Ovis aries: one gene and its partners. The protein of the gene in region 5 purifies or fractionates together with the protein of the main gene of each other region. This does not show direct contact. Links are inferred from orthologs where the notes say so. Each region holds a gene or a part of one and is shown on either strand. Other genes may lie near its edges.

Region 1 (4,110 bases), on a different chromosome or scaffold from region 5:
ACATCCCGCCACTGTGGCACTCACAACGGACGACATTGTATCTGTCTCCACCTCTGGAGAATGTGCTTCTCCATAGCAAAGACCTGCTCTAACTTCTCTGCATGTCACCAGTGCCCAGCAAAGACCTGGGAGAGATCTGGGTACCCAGAAAATATTTCCTAAATGGAGCCGTTCAATAGGCTCCCCTGTCTTCTGTCTGTTCCTGCAATGTTCCCCACTGCTACCTGGGCTTGCCAAAGCTAAACATGCTTGGGGACTTCCCCAGCAGTGGTTAAGACTCTGCCTTCCAATGCAGGGGGTGTGGGTTCAATCCCTGGTCAGGGAACTAAGATCCCAGTTGCCACAGGGTGTGGCCAAAAATTAAAAAAAAAAAAAAGAATTGAACAGGCTCTTCCCTGCTCAGGACCCTCCCCAGCATGAAGTCCTACAGAACAGTCATGTTCCTGAGCTCACATTCAAGGCCCGTCTGGCCCTAGCCTGCCTCAGCTTCTCCACTGCTGTCTGTTTCACCCCCGAGAAGCAGGAGCTCCTGCCAGATCAGATGACTTGGACGTGCCACTTGCTGTGCTTCCACTCTTGCATCTGCCACAGCTATCGCCTCACATGACACTTGCTTTGGGAAGCCTTCCCGGGCTGATCCCATCCCCATTTCAGGCTTCAGGTGCCTCCCCCTCAGCTTTCATAGTGCACTGTGCTACCTCTAACAAGGCTTATATCTCACTGGAGTGCCTCTTTTCATCTCTGTCTCCTGATTTTCTTGTCTCTTTTTCCCTAGACTGGGAACCATCTCTGGTTTTATCTCTATTTCCCCAGAACCTGTTGACCTCAATAAGTATATTGTAGGTCCTCACTGTTTGCTGAAAAAGTGCAGGATCCAGGCTTACCTGTTTCACAGTCCCAGAGACGACAGCTGTTGTCAGCTGAGCCAGTGAGGACATGCTTGGTGTCCCCTGAAGAGGGTGTTAAGAAGCATAACAGAATTCACCTGAGTCCTTGTCCTCTTGGAAGGCCAAGTGAATCATCTCCCTATTCAGCACCAGAGAGCCTTCCTTCTCTCATCCTAACCTCCTCATTCAGAACTGGAACCTGTCCTAAATGTTCCCCGAAATAGTGAACAGACCAAGGAGTAGGAGGTAGGTAGCATCATTCTCCAGACCCCACCAGAGCATCTCAAACTCTCAGCTTCAGGTCAGCAGCTTCTCCATTGCTGGCAGACCCTGGTAGCACAGACTCAGAACAAAGATAAGGATACAGTCAGCGTCCACACACCACACAGCTCCGGTATGGCCCATGTAGGTGCCCAGTCTCTCACCATTCACAGAGTACCATACATTGACAATCTGGAGGATCAAGGACAATGTGACAGGATGATAGGCATTGTGGGCAGAGCCATGGCCTATTTTGCCCCAGAAGCTTCTAGCCAGGCCAGATTCGACCCTCCCCAGCTCATCTCTTGGGGAACAGCAGGTTGCTGGTAAAAAGACCAACTCCTGGATTCTCCTCCTGCTTGCGAAAAAGTCTCCATCATACCAGCCTTTCCCCAGACTCCTAAACCCTTTGAGGAATAAAAGGTCAAGCTGAGTATCAGCCTAGCAAAAGAGTAGTGTTTTGGTGTTCTGTCCAAACAGGAGCCGTTGGTAGGAGAGAAACCTAGGTTCCAGTCCCTGCTCTGCTACTATCTCACTGTATTATTGAAATGTGTGCTTTTCCCCTCTGAACTTCAGTTTTCCCACGTGTAAACTGGCCAGGACAATAACGCCTTTTTCAAAGAGTAGCTGTGAGACTCCAATAAAATAATGTCTAAGGAATTTAAAATGTGTCTAACATTAATATGGTACTCACAAACACTCTTTATTCAAGTAAGCTCTTTATTTGAATAATCTCATTTAATTCTAAAGACAACCCCAAGAGGGAGGTACTATTACTACCCATATTTTGTAAAAAGGGGCTCTTAAAGTTTATAATGGTTAAATGGCATGTTCAAAGTCACACTGCTAGTGAATACAGGACTCAGGATTCAAATCAGGTGTGTCAGCCCCCACGTTTAGCCACTAGGGTTAACTTTCTCCATATGGAGGTGCCTCAAAATGCAGTACTCAAAGGGGCTGTTTGCAGTGAGTGAGTGGCAGGAAGAGGGATGACTGAAATGATACCAAGGACACCTTCTTTAAGGTCTTTATCCTCGCCGCCCCAGGATCAACTTCCCCCTTCTCCAGGTGGTCTGTTCCCCTATCCTTGTAGAATAGTTTTGTTCTTCCCCGGAATGAGCTCCTCTCCGCCCCATGAGCAAGATGACCCACGTCCCCGTCCCCTTTCCACAAGGTACCCTTGCTTTTCTTCTCCCTGGCTACTCCCTCCTATCAACAATGGAGTCCTTTCCCACATCTATCGGTGTAATGCTCTTGCCCTCCAAACCCCGGGCTGATCTCTCCCTACTTCTCAGAACGGGGCACTCCTCGGTTTTTCTCGCAGCAAAACTAGCTTGTCCACCCTTCGCCCCGGGAGAATGAACGCGCCCGCTCCCGAGCCCCCTCCGCAAGGTCCCGGCGGGCCCGCCCTTCGGCCGACGCTCACAGGGTCCTTCGCCACCGTGAAAAGGAGGTCTCCCTCGCGGTTGTACTTAATCTGAGTAATGGACCGCTCATGGCCCTGCAGCAGGATCGGCTTCTGTGGGGACAGGACGGCAGTGTCAGCGCCCAGAATTGGCCCCTACCCCAGCACGGACCCCTACGGCAATACCTTTAACACAGGAGAACTCACCATTCCGGCGGTGACGCGAGGAAAGCGGCAACGTGAGTAGAACCGGAAGAGGCTTTGGCGCCACTTCCGGATTACGAGTCTCCGCCCCCTTTGTTCCCGGAAGTGGAGAGGATCGGCGTTGCCATGGCGGCGACCCTGGGTAAGCGGGCCCCGCCCCTCCCCTCGCTTCCAGACTGCTATCCCAAGTTCATTTCTTACTCCCTCCTCCACCACCTAACCCCGACCCTTGCTACAACCCCGAACTTGGGCTCCAGGATCCATCTCCCCGGCTTCCCGGGGCCTGTCCTACCCGCCAATCAGACCCGGGGCGTCGGAGAGCAAAGAAGGGATGTGGGAGCGGCGGGGTGGGAATGGGAGACCGGAGGAGGGCTAAGGCCGTGCGGTGGGGCGGCGGGGGATGTCACTCGTCTCTCCATCCAGGGCAGGTGCTGGCTCTGGTGCTAGTGGCCGCTCTGTGGGGTGGCACACAGCCATTGCTGAAGCGGGCCTCCTCTCGCCTGCAGCAGGTTCATGAGCGGACCTGGGCCCGGCAGTTGCTGCAGGAAATGAAAACCTTGTTCTTGAATCCCGAGGTGCGTCTGTGAATGAGTCCTCTCTAGAGGGTAGCAGCTAAGAATTTGGTCTCTGGAGTCAAACAGATCAGGCTCAAAATCTGTGCTCCACCACTTACTCGCCAGAAGCTCTTGGATGAGTCTTGTTTGCCTTGAGTCTCAGTTTCGTCATCTGTAAAATGGGGATAATAAGGGTAACCGTCTTACGGGGCAGTTGTGAGGGTTAAGTGAGGTGAGGCACTAAAGCAGTTAGCAGTGGGCCTTATACATATTATAATTAGGTTTCAAGTCTCTGATGCCCTGAGCAGCTAGTAATATTTTATTATGGTGATCCTTCCAACAGACTTTTCCAGAGGGAGGGCTTAGGGCTTAAATTGGCCCTGGGGAGGGGGGCATAAGGGAGAATCTAGAGTACTACTTCTGAGCTCAGTGCTGCCAGTCTCGGCTGGTGGGAAAGTCATAGACACAACTGCCTCTCAGGGGTAAGGGCTTTGAGTGAGGTACAGACAAAGTGCTTTGTGAGTTCAGAGGAGGGAGGCTGGAGCTAGGCGACTGAGGGAAGGTTTCTTGGAGAGAGGAACACTGGCGCTCAGGGACTTGCAGGATGGGGAGGACAGAAACCAGCCGGGCTGAGGGGGAGGGCATTCAGGGCAAAGGCATGGGGTTCAGTCAGTGATGTTCCCTCTGCCCTGGAAGGGTCCTTTTCAGATGGCTTGGGCCCTAGCCCTTACAGCTACCCCTCCCTCCAAGGAAAGGCTTATCTCAAAGCTCAAAGAAGGCAGCCCTGCTCAGATAAGCA
Region 2 (4,031 bases), on a different chromosome or scaffold from region 5:
CTTGCAGATTCGGCAGGACACTATCTTCTGGCCCTTGAGCTTGTTCATTGGGTCCTCCTCTTCCTGGCAGTTCAGATCCTGGCAGGGCAGGTGGTGGCAGTTCAGACGGTAGTTCAGCTGCTCCCCTGCTGCCTCCAGTAACACCCTGGCCACTGGCTCCCCCTGCCAGCCACCACACTTACCTCTTTGCTGGTGATGAATGTCATGGATACATCATCGCTGACTGTGGTGGTGGCTACGTTGGGCCCCGGTGGGTCAAATTCTGAGTTCCCAAACTTCTTCCAGTTCTGAGCTCAAGGCAGGATGGGGGACAGGTCAGGGCAAGGACAAGTGGGACCCCCTCCATTTGCACCCTAGACTTAACAAGAGCCACCTTGAGGGTGAGTGAGTCTTGAACCCTATTCACCGCCCTCAAATGCTCCTTGGAGAAGCGATGATGACAGTTGCTATTCCCTGAGGGCATGCCAGGCCCCAGCTCCATGCCAGCTCCAAGAGTAGGGGCAGCTCTCAGCCTCATGTTACAGATGAGAAAACTGAGGCTCAGGGGTAAACAGGTCCAGAGCCAACAACCCCTGGCAGGGGCTGACCAGCTTCCACCGAGTGATACTCAGGGGTGTGCAGGATCACCCAGATTTCCAGGGGCCTTGAGCTCCTTAAACAACCTGTACCTTGGCATCCTCCCCTATAAGGGACCACAATGCTCCCCACACCTCCCTGGAATGCTAGGGGAATGAATGAGAAAATACTTCCCACGAAGCACCTGAGTCTAACACCGAGTATGTAGGTAACTGTGCAAAACGTATTTACTGCCATCACTTCTGCTGCTACGACCACCTCACAGGAGGGCTTTGGCTCTGTTCCTCCCAGGCGACAAGCCGAGAGAAGTAAGAACCAACCCCTCCGCTCCCACTCCTGCACCTGCTGGACTTTTCAGGGCCCCCACGGACTGCACACAGGCCTCAGTTCTGCTCCAACAGAAGAGGTACACCCAGGGGACTTCCCCGGTGGCCCAGTGGTTAAGACTCCGCACTCTCAATGCACAAGGTGTGGTTTCAAGCCTTGCTCGGGGAACTAAGATCCCACATGCTGTGTGGTGCAACCAAACAATTAGAAAGAAACAAAAAAGCATCAGTCTCTCAATCATGTCTAACTTTTTGCGACCCTATGGACTATAGCCCACCAGGCTCCTCTGTCCATGGAATTCTCCAGGCAAGAACACTGGAGTGGGTAATCATCCCCTTCTCCAGGGTACCGTCCTGACCCAGGGATGAACCAGCATCTCCTGCATTGCAGGAAGATTCTTTACCACTGAGCCACCAGGGAAGCCACCAGGAAATTGTTTAACAAACAGTTAAACCCCACTTCTAAAAATGAAGGCAATAGGGAAAAGAACTCCTATTTTTTCTTTGAGTCAGCCCTGGAGGAGCCCCCAAGGAAGGGGGAGAAGGGTCTTACCTTCCTCCTTGCCACAGCCTTTGAGGCCTTCCGGGTCTCAATTCTGAAGGTGCGGACGATCTGTGGATAGGAGGGGAAACGTTTGGGCCTTCTGCTCCTCAAGGTTCCTAGCAGATCTTCCTCATCAAGACATCCAACACACCACTCTCTCCCTAGTCCAAGTGCCCCTCAAGCAAAGGGCTCCCACCTCTTCCCCAGCCTCACCTTGAACTTCTTGCCATCCTCATCTATCTTATACTCCGTCACTGTTTTGATGTTTCCATTGATGACCTCCTTGGGAGGTGGCAGTGGAGCTGGGAGAGAGGAAGAGACAAAGGAACTGAGCCCTGGGTAATAGGGACCAGAAGGAAGGAGGCTGGGGAGAGAGACGGCCCAGGGCTGGAGTGAAGTCGGGCACTCACCTCCCGGCAATAGCTCAGGCTCTGGACTGGTATCCCCAGTGGCCAGGGGGATCCCCTTGAGGAGCTCGCTGGTGACACATTTGTCTGTGACAGGGAGTGGAGGGAGCAGGGGTCAGCTGGGGGGTAGGGGTGGGCAGCGACAGGAACTCCCAAGCTGAAATCAAGGGACCTTTGGGATGATGCCTGCACCAGGAGCTGAGAAAGGTGGGACCAAGGGCAGAGGACTGGCCAGGAAGTGTCTTGGGATAGCCATTCAGGGACACGGAGCTGGCCGGTAGTAACTTCCAGCAATGAGAAGGGGAAGGGGATCCTTGGCCTGAGGGCCTGAGGGCCTGAGGGCCTGAGGGAAGGGGAGGGCCACAGGCATCCGGGCAATAGTATTAATACAAAGGCAGGAGTGTGGCTGTTAAACAATTTCCTGCCAGGAGCAGGGAAGCAGAAGTGCTGGCATCAAGGACTTGGGCGGTGGCACGGCAGAAGATGGGCTGGCTGGTGAACGTATGGAGTTGGAGATAGGCTGGCCCAGATGAGAGTGGCGCGGGGCAGGGGCTGGCTGTGAGGGGAGATGCAGGGTCTGACGGCGGTGCCAGGGTGGAGGATCAGAGCAGGCAGCAGTGACGGCCTGGGGCGGCGGGGGGAGGCCGGGCTGCGGTGATCCGAGGCGACAAGGTAGACTCACCGTCCTCTCCTTCCTCTTCCACCTGGTCCGCCCAACTGGGCTTCGAACTGCGGGGACAAGTTTGTCAAAAGGAGGGATGAGTGAGGCGAGGCCCAGCTCCCGCGGCCTCAACGCACCCAGGCTCTATATTAACTCCTAGGACCGCCCCCCATCCCCGGTCTGCTTACCAAACCCCCTCCACGACCCCTGACTCACTCAAAGTCTCCGGTCGGCATCGCAAAATCTCCACGCAGCCCAAGCCTGGGCCAAAGACCGGAAGTAAGAGGTGAAAGAGACTTCCGGCTCCGCTGCCTAGAGCAGCCGTAGCACTCCACAGCGCCCCCTACGGACGGAGGTAGAAGCGCCGCCTATGTGAGAGGCTGGGCCCTGGTATCTTACTATTAGAGGCTCGGCTCATTTACCTGAAAATCTTATTTATTTATTTATTTATTTGGCTGCGCTGGGTCTTAGTTGCGGCATGTAGGATCTAGTTCCTGGACCAGGAGGGCCTGCATTGGGATCACTGAATCTTAACCACCGGACCTTTTCTTTTACTTTTTTTAAAAATTAAAAATAATGACAATAAAGCTCAATTATATAGCTCTGACTGTTTGCAGGAACTGTGAGGAGGAAATTATCGTTTCCATTTTTCAGCTGAAGAAACCAAAACTGGTCTTCCTTGCCTGGAAATAACTTTTCTGATTCAAATGATCAAGATATCAAGTCACCCCCTAACTATTCTCCCTCCTTGAGTAACTCCCCCCCCCGCACTGTGAGGCTTGCAGAATCTTAATTCCCTAACCAGGTATCAGAACTGGGCGCTGCAGTGGAAGTGCAGAGTCTTAACCACTGGACCACCGGGGAATTCCTAGTAACATTCTTGGCTCCCTGATATAATCTTTTCCATTTTCTTTAATTTATTGCTTATTGTCCAGCGTTCCCTCTACTGTATGCATTCTCAGTGGGAGTGATATGACTCCCAAGGGGACCAAAATTAATTGTTCTGTGGCAAAAAAGAAACAAACAAAAAAAAAACCAACTTGGAGATGACAATGACTTGTGGCCTCCAAAGCCAACCCTCCCAGACAAAATCTTATTTCTAAACATTTAATTTCTATTGTTAGGGAGAAATTAAATGTAATTAGATTAACACTGATTTAAATGGAAGATAATTCCATTTTTCTCCTTTAGAGGGATGATAATGAAAAAAATGGTAAAAACTGCTGCAGACTTCTGCAGAAACACATTTGCCTGCTTTGTTCACTTCTGGGTCCCCAGCACCCTCAGGGTGTCTACACTTGATAAGTGCTCAATTCATGGGTATTTGGAACCGACAGGAACCAGATTATAAAGGACTTTAAAAACTAGACTAAAGATCATAGTCTCTTATATATATATTACATATATATACATGTATATATATATAACATATATAACATTTTTAAAAATATTTATTTTTATTTATTTGGCTGCATAGAGTCTTAGTTGTGGCACGTGGGAACTAGTTCCCTGACCAA
Region 3 (4,158 bases), on a different chromosome or scaffold from region 5:
GGCCACCCACCGTCCTAGATTCTACCTAGTACCAGAGGTATAAGGACAAACAAGACATTGTCCCTGACCTCAAGTCTGGTCACTGTTTAGAAAGCCTCAAGCAACCAACTCCTCAAAGCCATGCCAACCACTATTATCAGGTAGAAAGAGTGGAAGGTCTGGAATGTGGCATGAAACAGAAAAAAAAAGAAAAGAAACAGCCATCTCTATGCTGACTCTTAAAATACCACACCACAGGAAATGCCACAGAAATGTGTAACTGCTGCAAAGGAATCCGCACATTCTATGGACAGGAGAAACTGGGCGCCTTTCTGAAATGGAATCTTTACATTTTCTGAATTCTCACTTAGCTGTCAAGAGGCATTTAACCCAGGGATGGTACAGGTAGCCCCAACACTCCATGATGAATGGCCCAATGACAACAGTCCGAACCTCTCGGAGCTCCATGGTGACGTAGTGCTGCAGCTCCTTGGCAGCTTTGGCCCTGGTCTCTTCATTCCGGCTCTTTAGGCCGCTGGCAAACTGCTGCAGGACGCTCACGTTGCTGGATGTGGTGGCAGCTGTGGTGGCGGCGGCAGGGCCGGTTCCAAGCATCTTGCCCTGAGGTTCTTTGGAGAGATGCTTCCTTTAATATTCTGAATAACAAACCATGGCAATGAACTTATATATGGTCCCAGCTCCTCAACACAGATCTTCATACACCCAAGTCAAGCTGGGGAGCCAAACAAGGTTGGGAGACCTCACTGAAAAACATGCAAAGAGCCTTGAGCCATTCAACGATGACTGATGTTTAAAAGAGGCAGCACAGTAGCATAGGTCAAATGATGGGCTGTGCTGCCAGACTTACCTGAGTGTGAATTCAGTCCAAAATTATATACCTTGAGGAAGATACTTAACAGTTTCCCTAACTGTAATAAGAGGATAATAGTACCTAACTCATAAGGTTGACGTGAGGATTAAGTGAGTTAACCCATGTTAAAAAATGATTAAAACAGTGCCAGGCACACAGTGAGTTAATAGTTACTAGCTATGATTATCATTATGACTACTACATACATGGCACAGTCAGGTACTAGAGTGGGGAGACAGAGGGAAAATAAGCATGCCTAAGACTGCCCCTTTCCTTGAGGAAAATTTAAAGAGGGGCACTGTTTATTATTCTATAGCAGCACTGCCCAAAAGCAATATGAATCACAAACGTAACTTTGAATTTCCTAGTAGCCATATGGAAAACATAAAAAGAAACAAGAAAAATGAACACATTTAATCCCAATATATCCTAAATATCATTTCAACATGTTATCAATACAAAAAATTATTGACATTTTTTTCATTCTTTTTTTCTGTACCAAGTCACCAAAATCGAGTGTGCATTTTATAATTAGGTCAATTTCAACTTGGACTAGTCACATTTCAAGCACTCTAAAGCCTCATGTGGCTGATGGTTATTGTATTGGGCAGCACAGTTCTGTATTTTTTAAATTTTTTATTATTTTCTGTTCTTATTTTGTGGTCCTGCCCTGCAGCATGTGGGATCTCACTTCCCCAACCAGGGTTTGAACCTGTGCCCACTGCATTAGAAGCAAGGAGTCGTCACCACTGGACTGTCAGGGAAGTCTCTGCCCTATGGAACGTAGCTGGAACGTGAGCTAAGACAGACTGATTTGTTCCTGAGATCACTCATTTATTCCTGAATTATGTACTGTTCCTTCCCTCAATAAGCTTACAATCTAGGGGGAAACACAAATAATCAAGTGACCATAATGCAGTGGCTATGATAAAGCTCGGCCCAGACTGCCATGGCAGTAACATATACACCTATCCTGGGCATGTCCACGTTATAATAGAAAATAAAATTTTCAAAATTTCTTATTTTGAAAGAATTTGTGAAATCCAGAAGGGTAAAAAACAGTAATAATTGATTCTGAAAAGCTTTTAAATTCTCCAGCATCAAGAAGACGACTGCAGAAAGAAGTGTCAGACTTTAGGGCTGAGGAAACCCAAGAATTCCAGAGGAGAAAACTACTACAGAGAGTGTGCACTTGGCAGTGATGGGGGGGGGGGGGGGGGGTAGGCAAGCAAGGAATTTCCAGTCTCAGGAAGGAATCAGCCTACCTTCATAAGGTCTAAGGCCCAAAGGCTATCTGCTCCAGGCAGAATTCAATGAAAATACTAGAAGTTAAATATACGAAGGGTCTTGGCGAGGGCTTTCAGAAGTTGAAGCCAGGTGCCCAAACTAGGGATGGTGGCGGGGGAAGCAGAGAGGATGAAACTCAGGGTGGAACCGAGCTCAGCTCCGGGAAATGGGTCCCTGAGAGGCATCCACAGTGAAGCGCAAGGGGCTGACACTGACGTTGGTCCTCTCCGAGGACAATGTGTAGGTGGCTCAGAAGAAAGGTTGACAGACGGGCAGAGACCCAGAGGCGCCCCAGCAATACAGGAGCTGATGGGCCGGCCTTCTGGCGCCAGAAACACACGCTAGGCTAAAGGGTCCGGGGGTTTCCTGGAGGTCCGGGAGGAAGTGGGCGTAGCCTCGCGGAGTGAGGGTCAAGGGCTCCGGCGGCGCCCAACTCCGTGGGGCCAGTACTGAGGGGACCCCAAGTCCCAGATGGACGGCTTCCCGGGGTGCCCCCACGGACCAGGCTAGCCGTGGGTCTGGACATTCCACCGCCTTGGAGGGGTCGGTGCCAGGCCCCAGACTCACCGCGCGGCTTCGGCCAAGGCCTCAGCTGCCGCCGCCAGCGCCGGTACCGCCGCTTCAGGGCCCGGTCCCCACCACCCGCCTTCCCCGCTGTCCTCTAAGCCGGGCGGGAGGGAGGGCGTACTCCTAGCCCTGACGACCAATCGACGGCCATAAGAAGAAGATAGACAGGAATACAGGCCAATAATCATTTAGGAGAAGTGAGGCTTCGGGACCGGCTTCTCCAGGGGGCGGGGACTGTTCAAATAGACAAACCCCGTGGCCAGTGGCAGGAGAAAGGAGGCTTAGGTCCTCTCAGGAGAACCAATCATTCGTGAGTTGACTTCAGTCACTTCCACGCACACATCCGGTGCGTCGTTACTAAAGTTCCCCACTGCACCTGGCCCTTGGCGGTGCCCATTTCGCTGTCTGGGTACGGTGGGATGGGACCACAAAGGATTAGGCGGAGGTTCGCGACCCCAGATTTAGTTTTCGAGAGCGCTGTGTGAGCGAAACCGGCACACTAGCGCTAGTGTATCCATGATTTTTCTTCTGTGAAATGTAATTCGCATTTAAAAGCATTTTTAGTTATATTTCCCCCACTTTCCCGATATTATCTAGCTCCCAAGATCATTCACCAGAAACAATAGGCAAATTTGAACTAAATGAGCTACTTGTGACTAAATAATTTCGAAGCTGTATCATTAAAAAAAAAAAATCCTTTCGAAAATCAATAGCAGAAATAGAATTTGACTACGTCTCATTTTTTAAAAATCACCGTCCATTATTTAAAAAACATTGAAAAAGTTTAAATATCTCACAGTTCGGTTCAGTCCAGTCGCTTAGTCATGTCCGACTCTTTGCGATCCCAGCACGCCAGACCTCCCTGTCCGTCACCAAATCCTGGAGTCCGCCCAAACCCGTGTTCATTGAGTCAATGATGCCATCCAACCATCTCATCCTCTGTCGTCCCCTTCTCCTCCTGCCTTCAATCTTTCCCAGCATCAGGGTCTTTCCCAATGAGTCAGCTCTTCGCATCAGGTGGCCAAAATATTGGAGTTTCAGCTTCAACACCAGTCCTTCCAATGAACACCCAGGACTGATGTCCTTTAGGATGGACTGTTTGGATCTCCTTGCGGTCCAAGGGACTCTCAGTCTTGTCCAACACCATAGTTCAAAAGCATCAATTCTTCGGGGCTCAGCTTTCTTTATAGTCCAACTCTCACATCCATACATGACCACTGGAAAACCATAGCCTTGACTAGATGGACCTTTGCTGGCAAAGTAATGTCTCTGCTTTTTAATATGCTGTCTACGTTGGTCATAACTTTCCTGCCAAGGAGTAAGCATCTTTTAATTTCATTGCTGCAATCACCATCTACAGTGATTTTGGAGCCCAGAAAAATAAAGTCAGTCACTGTTTCCACTGTTTCCCCATCTATTTGCCATGAAGTGATGGGACCGGATGCCATGATCTT
Region 4 (4,105 bases), on a different chromosome or scaffold from region 5:
ATGACAACCAACTGCGGCCACACAGGAGAAGCGTGGAGCTCACAAACCCAGGGCTGAGTGCAAGCTGCCAGACGCAGAAGAGCTCCAGTCGTGCAGCTACTCTTATGTTCAGTTCAAAGCAGGCAAACCTGCGCTAAGCGAATCAGGATGTGTATGTGTGTACATGCGCCTGCAAGCGTGTGGTAAATTCACACAAAGCCAGGCCACGAGAGCACAGGAGTGGTCACCAGGGTCATCAGGTCAGCGTGGTTGGCACAAAACACATGGGGCAAAGGACAGGGTGCTAGCAACACCCATTTTGCAGTTGGGCTGCTGATTACATAGGTGTCCATTTATAACTCCACGTTAAACCATATACTTGCTTTCTGCAGCAGCCTGTATGTGCGCTTTGTTATGATTTTTATTTATTTTTTTTTTTACTTTTTGGTTGCACAGCAAGGCCTGCGGGAGCTTAGTTCCCCAGCCAGGGATCTAACTCGTGTCCCCTGCAGTGGAAGGCTGGAATCTTAACTGCTGGAGTGCAGCCCCTGTAACTAAGTTTTCAAAAACCATCCCTCCTCCTGCCCCTACTTCCTGGCTCCCTAGTCTTGCACATTCTATCCAAAACAGATAAAGAGGTCATACAATTCAATACCAAAAATCCCGCAAAACCCTGTCAGAAACTTCTGAATAGACGCTTTTTTTTTAAAAGAAGACAGAGATCGCCAACAGGCAATTGAGAAGATGCTCAACATCACTAAACATCAGGAAAATGCAAATCAGAATCACACACTTGACAAAATGGCTATCAACAAGAAGACAACAAATAACAAAACACCGGCAAGGATGTGGAGGAGAGAACGCTTGATAGTGTCATGTCAATTGGCACAGCCACCGTGGAAAACAGTAGGGAGGTTCCCTGTAAAATCAAATCTAGGACTACCACATGATCCAGCAATTCCACTCCTGGGTATGTGTGTGTATATAAATATAAGTAAAGAAAACAAACACTAATTTGAAGTGATACAGGCACCCCAGTGTTCTCAGGAGCATTATTTTCAGTAGCCAAGATCTGGAAGCAACCTAAGTGTCCACTGACAAATGAATGGATAAAGAAGATGTGGTACATAGAAACACATACACACAATGGAATATTATTCAGCCATTAAAAAAAAAAAAAGGAAAAAGAATGAAAATTTGCCCTTTCAACAACATGGATGGACCTGGAGAATATTACGCTTAGTGAAGTTAAGTCAGACAGGGAAAGGCAAATACCACATGTTTTCGCTTATATGTAGAATCTAAAGAATAAAATGAAAGCAACAAAACAGAAACAGAGAAGCAAACTAGTGGTTATAGATGGGAATGGGGTGGGGGAGAGGTGAGATAATGGAAGGGGATTAAGGGGTACGAAATATATATGAAATAAGATACAAAGTCACAATGAACAGCACAGGGGCTATGACCCCCATTATATAAGAACTCTAAACGGAGTATAACCTATAAAAATACCCAAACACTATGTTGTACATCTAAAACTAATATAACATTGTAAATCAACTAGATTCCAATTTTTAAAAAAGAGAGAGAAGTCACATCCTGGAGGTTACCCCTCACTCCCACCCCACCCAGTGCTGGGAGTGGCAGGCTGCTGACTATGGGAACCGGGTGGGAATGGAGGCAGATACTCACAGTTTCAGGACAGCCAGGTTGGCTTCCAGATCATAGGCATTTTCCTTGGCCTGTGTCTCCACATAGCGCTCCAGGGTGGCCAGGTTCTCAGGGTTGTACCTAGAGGAGAAACAAGATGAGTGAGCAGAGACAAGAGCTGAGGCCAGTCACTCCCATGGGGTAGGAGTGGGGGCGACTGTAGCCTGCTCCTCCTTCTCTTCCTTTCCTCCCTCCCTCCGTCACTGGCCACTTGCTCTACTCAAATATTGAATCAGCTCTATAATCTCTGATGAAACTTATCCATATCCCTGACCTAAGCCCCAGCTCTAAACCCCATCAGAGCCCTGGGTCTTTTCTGAAAAATGTCTTTTCAATCTCTCAGCCAACCAGCCCTTGCAGCCTGTACATCTGCCCTCCTGGACATCTTTGATATCCACCCCTTTCTCCCATCCCCAAACCCCACTCTGGTGCAGCCCATTCTCTCCTGCCTAGTTTTCCCCATCCTAGCCCCCACCAATCTACCTATGTTTCCCCCATCACCACCTTGACCACTCCTGGCTATCACTGTCTACCGTCCGGTTTATCTGAACTAGAAACTCCATGAAAGCATGGCCAGTGGCTGTCTTTGGTTATCTCTGGTCCGCACCATTGCCCAGAATTCACAGTGTAGATTTCAGTAAACATGTGTTCGATGAATGAAATTAGGGGGGGAAGGGGAGCCACGAAGAGGCACTGAGAGGCTCAGTGAGACTGAGGAGCAGAGAGAAAACAGAGGGGCTGAGAGAGAATAAGTTAAGCAGAGAGGGCGGCCTTAAGGCAATTAAAGCGGACTGAGCGGCAGGCAAGGCCACCTCTTGCCTTTAGGCCTATACAATGCTGTTTTCTTAAACAACTGCTCCAGACTGACTGAAAAATCCCACCCCTGGGCAAGCCCAGGATGCTGACCACCTCTTGCTGACCCCAGAAAACCCTCTCCTCCACGCTGGCCAGAAACGCTCCCTCCGACCGGGCTCAGACCTGTCGATCCCCTTGAGCAACTTGCCCACGTTCGCTCTCATCTGCTCAAACATCGCCATGACTGCTGCCGCCTCCCACACCAGGCCTAAGGCCGAAGACCCTGCCGGCAAAGCGTCCTCGAGGACCGGAAGAGGAAGAGTTGGTGGAAACGGAAACTACGTAATTGTTTTCTCTCCAGCCCCGCGGTGAATCGTGCTTTGGGTCTAGCTGCGGCTGCCACGCTTTCCGGCTGCCGCGTGACTTCTTCCCAGCCGGCGCAGTTAGCGCGTGCGCATACGCTCTACTCGAGCAGAAGCTACGGCGCGAGAAAAGACCTAGTCTAACCAAGTGCGCAGGCGCCTTCTCGCGGCGAGGGGGCGGGACTAAGCTTTTCCCGGGCCTCGCGTATCCAGTTATAGACCCTGGCGCGTGAGCGCGGACTTAGCGGGAAGTAGACTGATCCGTGACGGCGTGCACGGGCTGTGAACTCAAAACTGCTGGGGTTCCATCAGTACAATCCTTTTGGTCCATGGGCATGTGCCGAAGAAGGTGCCCTCTGAGGTCCCCTTGGCCTCTGAGGAAGGATCCTGAGCTTCGCAGTTTTAAGTCGTGAACCTGGTCCCCCACACTTCACCCTAACGCCGAGGGTAGTGGCCCGCAAAGCTGTTGTGCTCAGCTCGGCAGGGGCGGAGAGAGGGGCTCGTGGACCCCGCTAGATCACGCCCAGTCCCCATAGCTCCAGTTCTGTGGGTGAAGGCGAGCGCTCCGCATGTGGCATCCCTAGTTGTGTGTTCAGATACTGCCCACTGCAAGCATGACTGAACATGCATGTGTCATATGTGTATATGCTCTGGGTATATCCACATACGTGCACACGGGTATCCAGGAGTGTGCACGGCGACTGGCCTGCGCGCCGCACGGGGAGTTACCACTAAGTGCCTGTATGTGTCCCGGGTGAACAATGATGTACATACACTACATGGTCATCCCGGTGTAGACCTGCCATCTCCAGGTTGTGGCCCAACACTCAGCGTTCAGCAGAGGTTCAAATGTTTTTAGCCACTGCCCATAACGGGGGAGGGTGAGGGCACCCTCCAGGTCACAATGAAGATAGTTTGCATCTGGTTTACATGCAGCCCAGGGCCCCGGAGGTGGAGGGGGGAGTCCCCTGGGTCCCAAGGCAAGCTGCCCCTCACAGGCTGTCAGGGCCCAGGGGACAGGGGGTGGAGCCGCTGGCTGCACAGCTCTGTGCCGGGGCAGGAAGCGAGAGTGGGGAGGGGGGAGGCCACAGCCGGTGGAGGCAAGGCGGGTGCAGGGCGTGTGGGGAGGGAGGGAGGTGCCAGCATTCGGAGCCCTGAGGCCCTGCTGGCCCCTGGGCGCAGGCCCAGCTCCGGCCCCCAGGAATGGACCTCGTAGACCCTGACATCTTTAACAGGGACCCCCGGGACCACTATGACCT
Region 5 (3,500 bases):
GCAGCCTTCCGTGTCTGGCCTCCTCCCCTGAGCGCGGGGTGCAGGCCCGTCCAGGTGGCGCCCTGAGCTCGTCCCTCATCGTTTCCACGGCTGAGCCTGTTTACTGTGTTATATCGTGTTTGCCCATTTATCCTTTGGTGGGCATGTGGGTTGTTTCCACCTTTTGGCTATCACGGATAATGCAGCTTTTTACATGAACATAGCTGTTCCACTGTTTTGAAATAATAGTTGGATCAGTCCCAGCTGGTGGGCCTTCGGGACACTACAGAAGGTTTGCAGAGAGGTCACAATATGGATCCTTGGGCCCGTCTGCTGGAGGTGACCTCAGGGCAGGTCTAGGGTCTGGGCTGGGGCCGAGGGACCGCTGCTTCTCCGGACACTGTGCCCGTCTCCGCCTTCATCAGCGTTTGAGAGCTCGTCTCACCACTTCAGTCACTGCCAGTTTTCACGTCTCTAACAGGCGTATACGTTTAATCTTTCATTAACTTAAGTTGTCCTTTGAGTCTTCCTCATGCTTGGTTTTCAGAATGCCACCCCTTCTTTTTTCTTTTAAACAGGGTGTTGTCACAAATTTTGAAATTTTCCGGATGAGAGAAAAACAGGTGCCTGTTGACGTGGTCGAGATGAAAGGCAAGTGCCTCCGTCCTGTCCTGAGGTTGAGTAGCTGCCGAGCTGTCACGCCTACTCGTAGCGCTTCCCTGCGAGTTCACAGCCAGGCAGGCTGGCTGAGGCCAGGCGTCTCTGTGTTACAGAGCCTACGTCGGGTCACGGTTTCTCTGTCCTTCCCAGCTTCAGTCTCTTAGCCTTTCCAGTTGCCAGGTGAAGAGACGCCCCCTTTTTTTCATTCACACCATGTGATCTGCTTACATAGCAGAGGGACACAGGTTCGAGCCTGGTTTCACGCTTAGAGAGTGTGAAGAGCAGGTTTTCATCATACACCCAGCAACGCAGCTAAGAGCTTGTCCTCTTACATAGGAAGGTTCTCAGTTGAGTAGCGGTATTTTGGGTTTTTGGACTCCTAAAAACTGGAGACGCTGTCTCTGCCTTTAGGTGGAACGTTTGGCGTGTATATCCTGTTTTGCTGGGGAGAGGAGGAAGGGAAGGGAAGGTGCTGCCTGGGAGAGGGCATGACCCCTGTGTGCCGTGCGGAGAGTGAGGGGCACATCCACAGGCCGGCCCGCCCGTGGCAGGAGCCTGGGGTAAAGTGGGGCCCGCCCGCCGGCCACGGCGGCTCCGCAGGGCTCAGCGTGCTGTCTTTGTGCCCGTGCTGCTTGTGGGCCTTTCAATGAACCTGAGAATCTGGGGCATCTCTTGTTGAGCAGCCTTAACGGAAAATGACGTTCTGTGACCAAGGAGCTCGCCCTCTCTTCTGGCCCTAGAAACCATCATTGCCTTCGCTTGGGAGCCGAACGGAAGTAAGTTTGCTGTGCTGCACGGGGAGGCGCCCCGGATATCCGCCTCCTTCTACCACGTGAAGAGCAACGGGAAGATCGAGCTCATCAGTAAGCGGCCGAGTGGGAGCCCAGGGGCAGAGCTCGGTTACTGCTCCTGGGAGAGTGCTTGGCTGGACAGAGCGTCCTGTGGGCAGCTGGTGGTGGGCGAGGGAGTTTGCTGCAAAGGACGGGCCTTCTGTGCACTCCCGAGCGGCGGTGTGTGTGACATCGTCATTCTGTGATGTCGCCAACTGGCTGTCACAAAACTGAGTGTATTATTACTTCCCTTTGTCATGAAAGGACATTTGGACAGCTGAAGAGTCATGGCCTCCTGTTGTAAAGTAGGTTATGATGCAGCAAGCGTACAAGTGCCTCTGCTTTCCAGGCACCCCGCAACCCTGCCTCCCCTTGCAGGGTCAGCCTGCAGGCCACCACAGTGCTGGGGACTGCTCAGGATCCTTTCCATCCTGCCCGTCCCTATCAGGGCGGTGCTGCCCCCCTCCCCACCCTGCCCCTCCCTCCTGAGTAAAGAGATGAGGGCCAGGCCCCACCCCTTCAGGAGTGAGCATTGGGTTGGCATTGGGAGAGATGGTGGAATTAGCTTCTTTCAGTTAAAAAGTGAGTCGCTAGAATGGATTTCTAGGCTGTTGGGGTCACGTATCTCTGAGAATCTGGGGGAAACTGGACTCCTTGCCCTGGTGGTGCGTCCCCACGGTGACACTGCCTGCGTGGGGTGTTTTGTCTGATTGCACCGTCAAGTGCAGTGCTAGCGTTACTTAACGCAGCACCGCAGTTTCAGAACCCCTCCAGGCCCCCAAACTACGAGGCGCGGCGCCTCACAGAGTCCCGTGTGCACACCCGCGGGGTGGCCCTGTCTCGGCTGCACGCTGACCTCTGACCCTCTCCTTCCAGAGATGTTCGACAAGCAGCAGGCCAACACCATCTTCTGGAGCCCCCAGGGGCAGTTCGTCGTGCTGGCTGGCCTGCGGAGGTGGGTTCCGCTGATGCCCTGTGCGGGGCTGGGGGAGACCGTGACCCCGGCTCTGGCCCCGAAGGTTGCTCTGCCGCCTCCCTGCGAGTGCGGGGCAGGTGCTCCCAAGGGCGTCCCGGCCTGGGTGGATCGTGCGGTGTCTCCATCCTGCTGCCCAGACGTGGCCAGGACCAGGCCCCTTGCAGACGCTTCCACCGGGGACTTCGGAACGCAGGACCTCCTCCTGGTGGCCCAGTCCCCCGGTGTAAATGCCGCGCGTCCGTGTGGGAAGGGGGTTTGGTCAGGCTGGGAGCCCGTCTTGCCCTCTGCTGGGTGTGCCCACGAGCCTCTGGGCGTTCACCCCCTTGCTCCCCACCTGGCTGTGCAGCAGGCTGTGCAGAGCCTGGACAGGGGTGCGGGGCCTCCTCTGGGCTGGCGGGGCTCCCCGCCTCACTGTGGGTGCCTCGCGCTGGGGTTTGGCAGCTCAGCCTCTGCCAGCCTCTCCTCTGGGAGCCTGTGTTCCCTGTGCGTCATCTGTGTCCCTGTGGGCATTGCCACGTCCACGATCAGGCGGGACAGTGGGCTCCCGAGCGCAAGCCTGCTCGCCCGAGCTGGGGGCGGCACAGACGCGGCTCTCGGTGACGCCAGCCGCGCTGTCTCCCCAGCATGAACGGCGCCCTGGCGTTTGTCGACACCTCGGACTGCACGGTCATGAACATCGCTGAGCACTACATGGCCTCCGACGTGGAGTGGGACCCCACTGGGCGCTACGTCGTCACCTCCGTGTCCTGGTGGAGCCACAAGGTGCGGGGGTCCCGAGCGCCCTGCCTGCTCTGCCTCAGGGCCTCGCCCTCACCCCAGGACTGCAGTTCTGGGTGGTGGGGCTTCCGGCCGTTCCGGGGTCCCCAGCCTGGTCCCTCTGTCCCTCCCCGGTGTTCGCATGGGCCCCCACTCCACAGCGTGACACGCCTTCATTGTCGTTAGCCATTCGCTGTCCTCTCTTCCTGCTGGCTTGAGCCGTTAGGAGGACGGGCCGTTTCTCCCGAGCCACATCCCCAGCATCTGAAACTGCTGGCACATTGTCAGCCTTCAGTCAG
Region 6 (3,055 bases), on a different chromosome or scaffold from region 5:
ATTTAACAATTTCCCCAATGTTTACCTCAATATTCTCATCTTCATCATCATCTTCACCACCAGAAGATTCTTCCTCTGCTTCCTTCAACCATTTTATAAAAGGTTCCGCTTTAACACGAATCTCTTTGGCAAGTTCCTTTGAGACATATTTCTTAGAGGTCTAAAAAACGTTTAGTAAAACTTTTAGTTCAAACAACTTAACAGTAACTTGAGTTATACATAATTGTCTATACCCATCCTTTGAGGAGACTGGAATACATATTAATCTCAAACTCTCAACAGATTAAACGTATTCAGCAAAGAGCAAAAGATTTTCTTTGGTCATTACTAGAAGCTACCATGGTGGGGATCACCCTACAGGTTATACCAGTCAAGCAAGTAGAGACTAGGTGTTAGAAAACTTTTTCCAAAAAAGCCCCAATCCTAATCTTTAAGAGCTTATCAATATATTCCCCACCTTTTCCGACCAGCTAATGATGACCTCTTCCTCCAAAAGGTCTGCATCATACATCTCCTTCAAGATATGTGGAATCTTGGAAATGAGCTGAGATTGATGCATTGCTACCACACACTCCAAACCATGAAGAAGGTACCGCTGAGCTTTTTTGTTGTTGTGACAAAACTGCAAATAGATATTCTTGGTGTTAACAAGCTTTCTTAGATGCGACAGCCCTATAACAGTAAGGAGTCAATGCTTAAAGATTTCTAATTTACTTCACATATACAGGACCACATGTAGCATTTTCCAGATACTCTCATGCTTGTTAAGGTAGGTCAGTTATTTCCATTTTTTCAGGATGACAGAACAAACAGGAGGTTGAAATGGTGTTTCCAAAGTCACACATCTGCAAATCTCACTATGAACACAGAACAATTCGCTTACTCGTAAGAAATGGCGCCTGTATTTCTTAATTTGTTCTCTAATCTTCTCATTAAAAAGAACTTCAGTCAAAACAAGAGGGCCCATGGCTTTTACATCCAGTCTTTCTGCTTCAGCTACAATCTCTTTGTCAGATGAGTCAATAATACCTTCTTCTTTCTTTTTCTGCAAATAAAAGGAAGCAAGTTTAAAAAAAAAACCAAAAGAAGCAATTCAGTGAGACAGACGCGTATTTTGCACTGTCCCTGGGGCTTCCCTGGTAGCTCTGATACTAAAGATAATCTGCCTGCAATGCAGGAGGACATGGGTTTGATCCCTGGGTTGGGAAGATCCCCTAGAGAAGCAAACGGTTACCCACTCAGGACTGGACAATTCCAGAGTCTGGAAGGCTGCAGTCCATGGGGTCGCAAAAGAGCTGCACACGACTGAGTGACTAAGCACAGCACCATAGTCACTACTCTGATGAACCTTTCCCTTACTTAAGATTCTAGAACTTCTAAATACACACTTGCCAAAAACTGCCTGGAACCACCCTCAAAAAATTTTTGAACAAACAGCTTAAGGTAATAAATATCTAGTAAAACCTCAAGACTGGGTAGAAGCTGACTTACTGATCAACACAATGTTTTTACCTTCACAAAATCAAACAGGATATTGACTCGCTCTTCAATAGTCCTTTCCAAATCATCGCTGAGGGTTAAAACCTTTGCATGGTCACTGATCTCATCCATTCTACGCCTTTGAGCTTCCTCTGTTGTATCCTCCCCCCAGTCGTCATCCTCTTCTTCTTCCTGTTTTTAATAACAAAAATGCTTGGCCAAAGAGACCTTAAAGGTGTAAAAAAAAAAAAAAAAAAAAAAAAATCCAGATTTCTAGTGAAATTATCATTTTCTCACTAAATTTCTATTTACTTCTAATCAACCAATAAGCATCTGGAACCCAACGTACTGGTACGCTGTTCACAGAAAAGCAGTTTGTTTCTGCACACCTCAACCAAAGGTCACATTTCACACAATGTTAGTGCCCACCGCCCCCCTCGAGCCTCGCACTCACCACAGCATGTGGAGGAGGGCTGATCTCATGTGGTGGTGGTGGTGGTGGTGTCTCACTGGTGGAAACGGAGCCATTTTCCTTGTCTTTGCCCTTTCTATTTTTCTTTTCCTTTTCTTTTTTTCCTGTGCTACTGTCACTATTCTCTACACGGATAAAAAGGAAAGTTGAGTACCATGAGTTATATTATACCTCATTGCCCACCATTAACATTTAAAACCCTGCCCTCAGAAAGCCACAGAAAATGCTACCTATAATTCTAAAAGGGTTCATAAATCAAATTCATCCACTATGTTTCATAGGTAGGCAACTGAGTCTAAGAAAGAAAAGCCAGTAAATATCAGAGGTATTAGCTGTTTTAGTAAAATTAAGAGTTGGATGCCATGTAGCAACTCAACAATGAAAAACAGACCACACAAGTACTTGAAAGTTGGCACTCATGACCCTCTCTTTCCACTCCTCATAAACTGATCAACAAGGGTATTCTCAACTATGCTTCAGCCAAAAACTAGAACTGTGTTCAAGTCTATGTAACGGCTAGTCTCACAGAAAAGAGAACACCGGAATAGGTTAGACTTTTTTGCTATAGCAAGCTCAAATTGTGTCAGACAATTTTGATTTATCTGCCACAGAGTGTTGCTTGCATGCTCTAAAGCCACTCTGGCCTACTGAGCCAAGGCCCTCATGTACAAATGAGTATTCCAGAAGCAATCCATGGGGTTGCAAAGAGTCCGACTCAACTTAGCAACTGAACAATTCCAGAAGTAGATCTTTACTATGACCCCATCACAATTTGTCCAATATTTCATACATCCTAAAACGTCTTAAAAATTGAGGATATGGTTGAGTTTAATGGTAGCCTGTACTTGACCTTTAATAGTACATACAACAGCAGGTTCATCAAACAGCTGACTTTTGAATGTTAAGCTGAAACCACACCGATCCATTTACATGGAGTTCCCCACCCCCCAATAATTACATACTACAGTACTACACTATTCACTGTTGGTTGGTTGATCCTTGTATACACAGGGCTGACCTTATTATAAGCAAACTTTCACCTGCACAGGTGTTCAAGGATTAACCTTATTCTATATAGCGGTAAAGACACTTCCACTGTTTTCA
Region 7 (4,271 bases), on a different chromosome or scaffold from region 5:
CCGGGAGAAATATCAATAACCTCAGATATGCAGATGACACCACTCTTATGGCAGAAAGTGAAGAGGAACTCAAAAGCCTCTTGATGAAAGTGAAAGAGGAGAGTGAAAAACTTGGCTTAAAGCTCAACATTCAGAAAACAAAGATCATGGCATCTGGTCTCATCACTTCATAGCAAACAGATGGGCAAACAGTGGAAACAGTGTCAGACTTTATTTTGGGGGGCTCCTAAATCACTGCAGATGGTGACTGCAGCCATGAAATTAAAAGACGCTTACTCCTTGGAAAGGAAGTTATGACCAACCTAGATAGCATATTCAAAAGCAGAGACATTACTTTGCCAACAAAGGTCCGCCTAGTCAAGGCTATGGTTTTCCAGTGGTCATGTATGGATGTGAGAGTTGGACTGTGAAGAAAGCTGAGCATCGAAGAACTGATGCTTTTGAACTGTGGTGTTGGAGAAGATTCTTGAGAGCCCCTTGGACTGTAAGGAGATCCAACCAGTCCATTCTGAAAGAGATCAGTCCTGGGTGTTCTTTGGAAGGAATGATGCTAAAGCTGAAACTCCAGTACTTTGGCCACTTCATGCGAAGTTGACTCATTGGAAAAGACTCTGATGCTGGGGAGGGATTGGGGGCAGGAGGAGAAGGGGACGACAGAGGATGAGATGGCTGGATGGCATCACCTACTTGAAGGACGTGAGTTTGAGTGAACTCCGGGAGTTGGTGATGGACAGGGAGGCCTGGCGTGCTGCAGGACAAACTCCGTAGGCTGAGTTTCCAAAAAGACAGCACCGTTGCCATCGTAGCCAGGTGGTTCCTGAGTCGCCACTTCAGAATCACCACCAATTAAAATGCAGGTTTCTGGGCTCCAGCTAAGCCACGCTTGTATAACAGTCTATGGAAGGGGACCCGGAATCTTCATTTTTCAAATTAGCTCTCCAGGAATCTTTGTCAAACAAGAAAGTCTGAGAACTGTGGAGGTATGGTTTGAACACTGGCAGCGACCTCCGACACTAGTAGTCTGATCTACTCAGGTCACTTTGCACCTCCTGGTCTGTTTCCGAAAGCGCTCAAAGCTCAGCGAGTAGCCGCAAAAACCTGCCTGAAAGACTCGAACTCCCCCTAACGGTGAAACTCAAACAACACGATCTTTTAAAGAAGGCAGAAGCCGCGGGTCGTTGTGGGATACAGAGGGCCAGAGCGGCCCGCAAGGCATTGTGGGACATAGAGGGGCTTTCAGCCAGTCGCCGCTTCCAACTCCAACTACAAGGCCGCCACGTTTCAAGAAACTTGAAACTCTCGGAGTGTCGCCGGATGCCCCATGACGTAACTGTAAACATCCTCGAAGGCTAAATAAGAACACCGCGAAGAGAACAGGGACGAACTTCCGGATGTGCCTTCGCTTTACGACTCGCGTGTTCCGCCGTCGAACCGGAAGGAAGCCAAGAAGCAGTTTACGACACCGTCGGTCGTATTTACGGTGCCGGCCGCTGCGCGCGCATGTTTCCTCCTTTCCCGGTTCCCCGTAGCTCAGGCGGTGGCGCGGTATTCGGCCTAGACTATCTCTCACCATCGGGGCCGGTTACGGCCGTTACAGGTAAGCAGCGTATTCCGTACGCTTCCGCGGATCTCCAGAGCAGAGTTGAGCTGCGCCTGGCCTTCGGGGGCCTGCCGGAAGAGACTTCCGTACGCCCCCTCCTGCTTCCCTGTACCTCCGCTGGGAGGGGCAGGAATCCGCCTTCGGTCCCCCCAGGTCCGACCCAGTGCGGGGCAGAGCCTGTGGTTGAGGTCTCTTTCCGTGGAGTCCGCTTAGCGGCCACCGACAGTGTGTTCTGATGTGAACATGTCATTAACCCCGCTGAGTCTCAGGGTCTTTTAAAGTGCCCCACGGTTCCCTGAGCTTCTACGAGAGGGCTATTGGGTGTGCCAAACTGAGCGATGTTCGGCCCTGCTCTGAGGAGTTCACCGTCTAAATGTTTCTTTTCCTTGCCTATGAAATGGAAGGCTAGGATGTAGTTGGTTGATCTCTGATTTGACATTAACCGCCCAGGAATTGGCAAACGATCTGCAGTAACCTGCCAGCCACAAGGTTCTCCCTATGACTGTCCTGTTGATGCCGCCCCATCCTTTATCTGTAGCCAGTACAGCTGTCACTCCGTTTCAACTGAAAGATTTAGTTTCCCCTGTTGGTTACATTGTACTCTGCCTACTTTTTAGTTTACGCGTTGAAACCAAGCGACTTCCTTCCGCCCCTTTTAAAGTGTGTTTGGAGATATCTCACTGTGTTATTGATATGATCTGAAACCCAGGATCTTTTCAGGCTGCTGTCCAGCTGTAAAATAATGGGAAGAGTGTTACACTTAAGACAGAGGACCCTAGAAACCAAGTCTATCTTGAAATGATGAGATCAGCTGCTTGATTTGGCTGAACTGTGTATTTTTTTTTTAATCTGAAATTGGGGCCTAGGGGTTTAGTGGTGTTGCATCTGACATGTTGTAGGACCCTGGTAATATATAAGGGTATATTGTTTTGAGACCACCACACTCTCCCTCAGTCCGCTTCCTGTAGTGTAATTTAAGTTTAGGTAGGAGGATGGGGCTTCCAGGTTCATGCCCTTTTGGATCACGCAAGTGTCACCTCTAGGAACTCTCCCCATCATGGGAAAATGAAGAGAGTTTCATAAATTTAGTATTCTTTGCTCTTTGATTGATACAACTGAGCGACTTCACTTTCACTTTTCACTTTCATGCACTGGAGAAAGAAATGGCAACCCACTCCAGTGTTCTTGCCTGGAGAATCTCAGGGACAGGGGAGCCTGGTGGGCTGCCATCTATGAGGTCGCACAGAGTCAGACATGACTGAAGTGACTTAGCAGCAGCAGCTCTTTGATTGCTCCCCAGACTCTGGAAATATTTGTGTGGTGAATTTTCCCCTGGGAACTCAGCTTCTGGGCATTTTCAGGGGATTAGAATGGATGATAAATGCATGCATGAGTTTTGGGGAGGAATTGTTTGGCAGATATCTGTCGAGCCCCTGGTTTTTACTCTTCCTGAGCGGAGTACTGGCCTTACACAAAGTGTGGACTCTGAAGCCAGTTTCCCAGGGTTCAGATTTTCATCCATTAGTGTTGCAACTTTGGGCGATTTCTTGATATCTCTGTGCCTCAGTTTTCTTCTCTGGAAAGTGGGGCTAATACTGGCCCTACCTCGGGAGGAGATTGTTGAGGAGTTAATGAATTAATGTGTGGAAAGCGCTAACAACATGCCTGGTACTCATAATGTTTATGAACATTGGCTGTGTTCGGCCACTTTCATGACATAAGGCTTCTGGCTTCCTCAACCTTCTGCTGGGCTTTCTGCCTGACTTCTATGCCCTGCATAAGAATTTACACTGACAACAGAAAATTGAAAGAACAACAAAGGAAGGTTGCATTTCAGGATACATTCATGGACCCTTGTTTTTTCTCGGCACTGTGTGTAAATGTATTTTTGTAAGACAGAATAGTAAGTGTCTGGCGTTTTACAATGGAACTATTTCTGCTTATGTTAACTAATATATACAGCTTTCACAGTGATCCTCTGATGGGAATAAAACAAGGATCTTATTATTTTTCAGGTAAAGAGACTGAGGTTTAGGGGAATTAAATATTGTATGTCTGGTAAAGGTGTGAATGAAAACTGGAACCTGGTTATTAAACTCAAAAAAAAGTTAATTACATTTCATCAAGTCTGTAAGACATCACTGAATTCAAGAAGCACAATATCTTCATGTAACACTAAGAAAGAAAAGTTGCCAGATACGGTATGACACCTCATCAGTTAGAAGGTGCAGGTTCATGTCAGAGATAGTACAGTGGGAAAAAACAAATGGTGAGATATGATACATAAATTTGGTGAGCAGTCGTCTGAGTTTTAAGTATTCACAGTCTTATTCACAAGAAGATGGTAAGTGGAGAGTAGCTCAGCAGTTGAGGGTTCTGTTCTGTGTTTTGCTTTTTTAACTTTATCCTGTATTAGCTTACCTCAAATGGAAGACTTCGGGTTTTTTTGTTTGTTTGTTTTTTAGAGGCTTTTCTTCATGGAGTTACTTTGTTATTTGTATTTTTAAGGTTTTAAAAGATGGCAAAGTTCATGACACCCGTGATCCAGGACAACCCCTCAGGCTGGGGTCCCTGTGCAGTTCCGGAGCAGTTTCGGGATATGCCCTACCAGCCGTTCAGCAAAGGAGATCGGCTCGGAAAGGTGCCTGCCTGTCAGCGGGGTCTGAATCTT

The links.
Region 1: the proteins of EIF3B (region 5) and EIF3I purify together in Homo sapiens (affinity purification with mass spectrometry; 12 studies listed by BioGRID and IntAct, counting the BioPlex papers as one, with this or other methods). This does not show direct contact. The link is inferred for Ovis aries from reciprocal best matches to the Homo sapiens genes EIF3B and EIF3I.
Region 2: the proteins of EIF3B (region 5) and EIF3G purify together in Homo sapiens (affinity purification with mass spectrometry; 12 studies listed by BioGRID and IntAct, counting the BioPlex papers as one, with this or other methods). This does not show direct contact. The link is inferred for Ovis aries from reciprocal best matches to the Homo sapiens genes EIF3B and EIF3G.
Region 3: the proteins of EIF3B (region 5) and MTOR purify together in Homo sapiens (affinity purification with western blotting; 3 studies listed by BioGRID and IntAct, with this or other methods). This does not show direct contact. The link is inferred for Ovis aries from reciprocal best matches to the Homo sapiens genes EIF3B and MTOR.
Region 4: the proteins of EIF3B (region 5) and EIF3K purify together in Homo sapiens (affinity purification with mass spectrometry; 7 studies listed by BioGRID and IntAct, with this or other methods). This does not show direct contact. The link is inferred for Ovis aries from reciprocal best matches to the Homo sapiens genes EIF3B and EIF3K.
Region 6: the proteins of EIF3B (region 5) and EIF5 fractionate together in Homo sapiens (co-fractionation; 3 studies listed by BioGRID and IntAct, with this or other methods). This does not show direct contact. The link is inferred for Ovis aries from reciprocal best matches to the Homo sapiens genes EIF3B and EIF5.
Region 7: the proteins of EIF3B (region 5) and EIF3D purify together in Homo sapiens (affinity purification with mass spectrometry; 10 studies listed by BioGRID and IntAct, with this or other methods). This does not show direct contact. The link is inferred for Ovis aries from reciprocal best matches to the Homo sapiens genes EIF3B and EIF3D.

What each region holds. Positions count from the first base shown.
Region 1 is NC_056055.1:235,308,604-235,312,713, forward strand, and holds the start of EIF3I (eukaryotic translation initiation factor 3 subunit I), read right to left. Parts: upstream 2,801-4,110; 5' UTR 2,764-2,800; coding exon 2,761-2,763; intron 2,668-2,760; coding exon 2,575-2,667; intron 1,341-2,574; coding exon 1,253-1,340; intron 951-1,252; coding exon 885-950; intron 1-884. Other genes in the region: TMEM234 (transmembrane protein 234), read left to right, coding at 2,884-2,899, 3,181-3,332. UniProt on the Homo sapiens protein: Component of the eukaryotic translation initiation factor 3 (eIF-3) complex, which is required for several steps in the initiation of protein synthesis.
Region 2 is NC_056058.1:12,527,644-12,531,674, forward strand, and holds the start of EIF3G (eukaryotic translation initiation factor 3 subunit G), read right to left. Parts: upstream 2,801-4,031; 5' UTR 2,751-2,800; coding exon 2,731-2,750; intron 2,583-2,730; coding exon 2,536-2,582; intron 1,941-2,535; coding exon 1,857-1,940; intron 1,749-1,856; coding exon 1,660-1,748; intron 1,516-1,659; coding exon 1,456-1,515; intron 288-1,455; coding exon 183-287; intron 79-182; coding exon 1-78. UniProt on the Homo sapiens protein: RNA-binding component of the eukaryotic translation initiation factor 3 (eIF-3) complex, which is required for several steps in the initiation of protein synthesis.
Region 3 is NC_056065.1:41,653,575-41,657,732, reverse strand, and holds the start of MTOR (serine/threonine-protein kinase mTOR), read right to left. Parts: upstream 2,801-4,158; 5' UTR 2,705-2,800; intron 636-2,704; 5' UTR 595-635; coding exon 433-594; intron 1-432. UniProt on the Homo sapiens protein: Serine/threonine protein kinase which is a central regulator of cellular metabolism, growth and survival in response to hormones, growth factors, nutrients, energy and stress signals.
Region 4 is NC_056067.1:47,756,294-47,760,398, reverse strand, and holds the start of EIF3K (eukaryotic translation initiation factor 3 subunit K), read right to left. Parts: upstream 2,801-4,105; 5' UTR 2,727-2,800; coding exon 2,668-2,726; intron 1,771-2,667; coding exon 1,672-1,770; intron 1-1,671. Other genes in the region: MAP4K1 (mitogen-activated protein kinase kinase kinase kinase 1), read left to right, coding at 4,050-4,105. UniProt on the Homo sapiens protein: Component of the eukaryotic translation initiation factor 3 (eIF-3) complex, which is required for several steps in the initiation of protein synthesis.
Region 5 is NC_056077.1:41,264,714-41,268,213, reverse strand, and holds part of EIF3B (eukaryotic translation initiation factor 3 subunit B), read left to right. Parts: intron 1-557; coding exon 558-630; intron 631-1,379; coding exon 1,380-1,502; intron 1,503-2,345; coding exon 2,346-2,424; intron 2,425-3,068; coding exon 3,069-3,207; intron 3,208-3,500.
Region 6 is NC_056071.1:65,730,199-65,733,253, reverse strand, and holds part of EIF5 (eukaryotic translation initiation factor 5), read right to left. Parts: intron 2,573-3,055; exon of another isoform or gene 2,446-2,572; intron 2,077-2,445; coding exon 1,934-2,076; intron 1,672-1,933; coding exon 1,513-1,671; intron 1,046-1,512; coding exon 884-1,045; intron 623-883; coding exon 458-622; intron 161-457; coding exon 26-160; intron 1-25.
Region 7 is NC_056056.1:180,582,333-180,586,603, reverse strand, and holds the start of EIF3D (eukaryotic translation initiation factor 3 subunit D), read left to right. Parts: upstream 1-1,471; 5' UTR 1,472-1,597; intron 1,598-4,108; 5' UTR 4,109-4,118; coding exon 4,119-4,241; intron 4,242-4,271. UniProt on the Homo sapiens protein: mRNA cap-binding component of the eukaryotic translation initiation factor 3 (eIF-3) complex, a complex required for several steps in the initiation of protein synthesis of a specialized repertoire of mRNAs.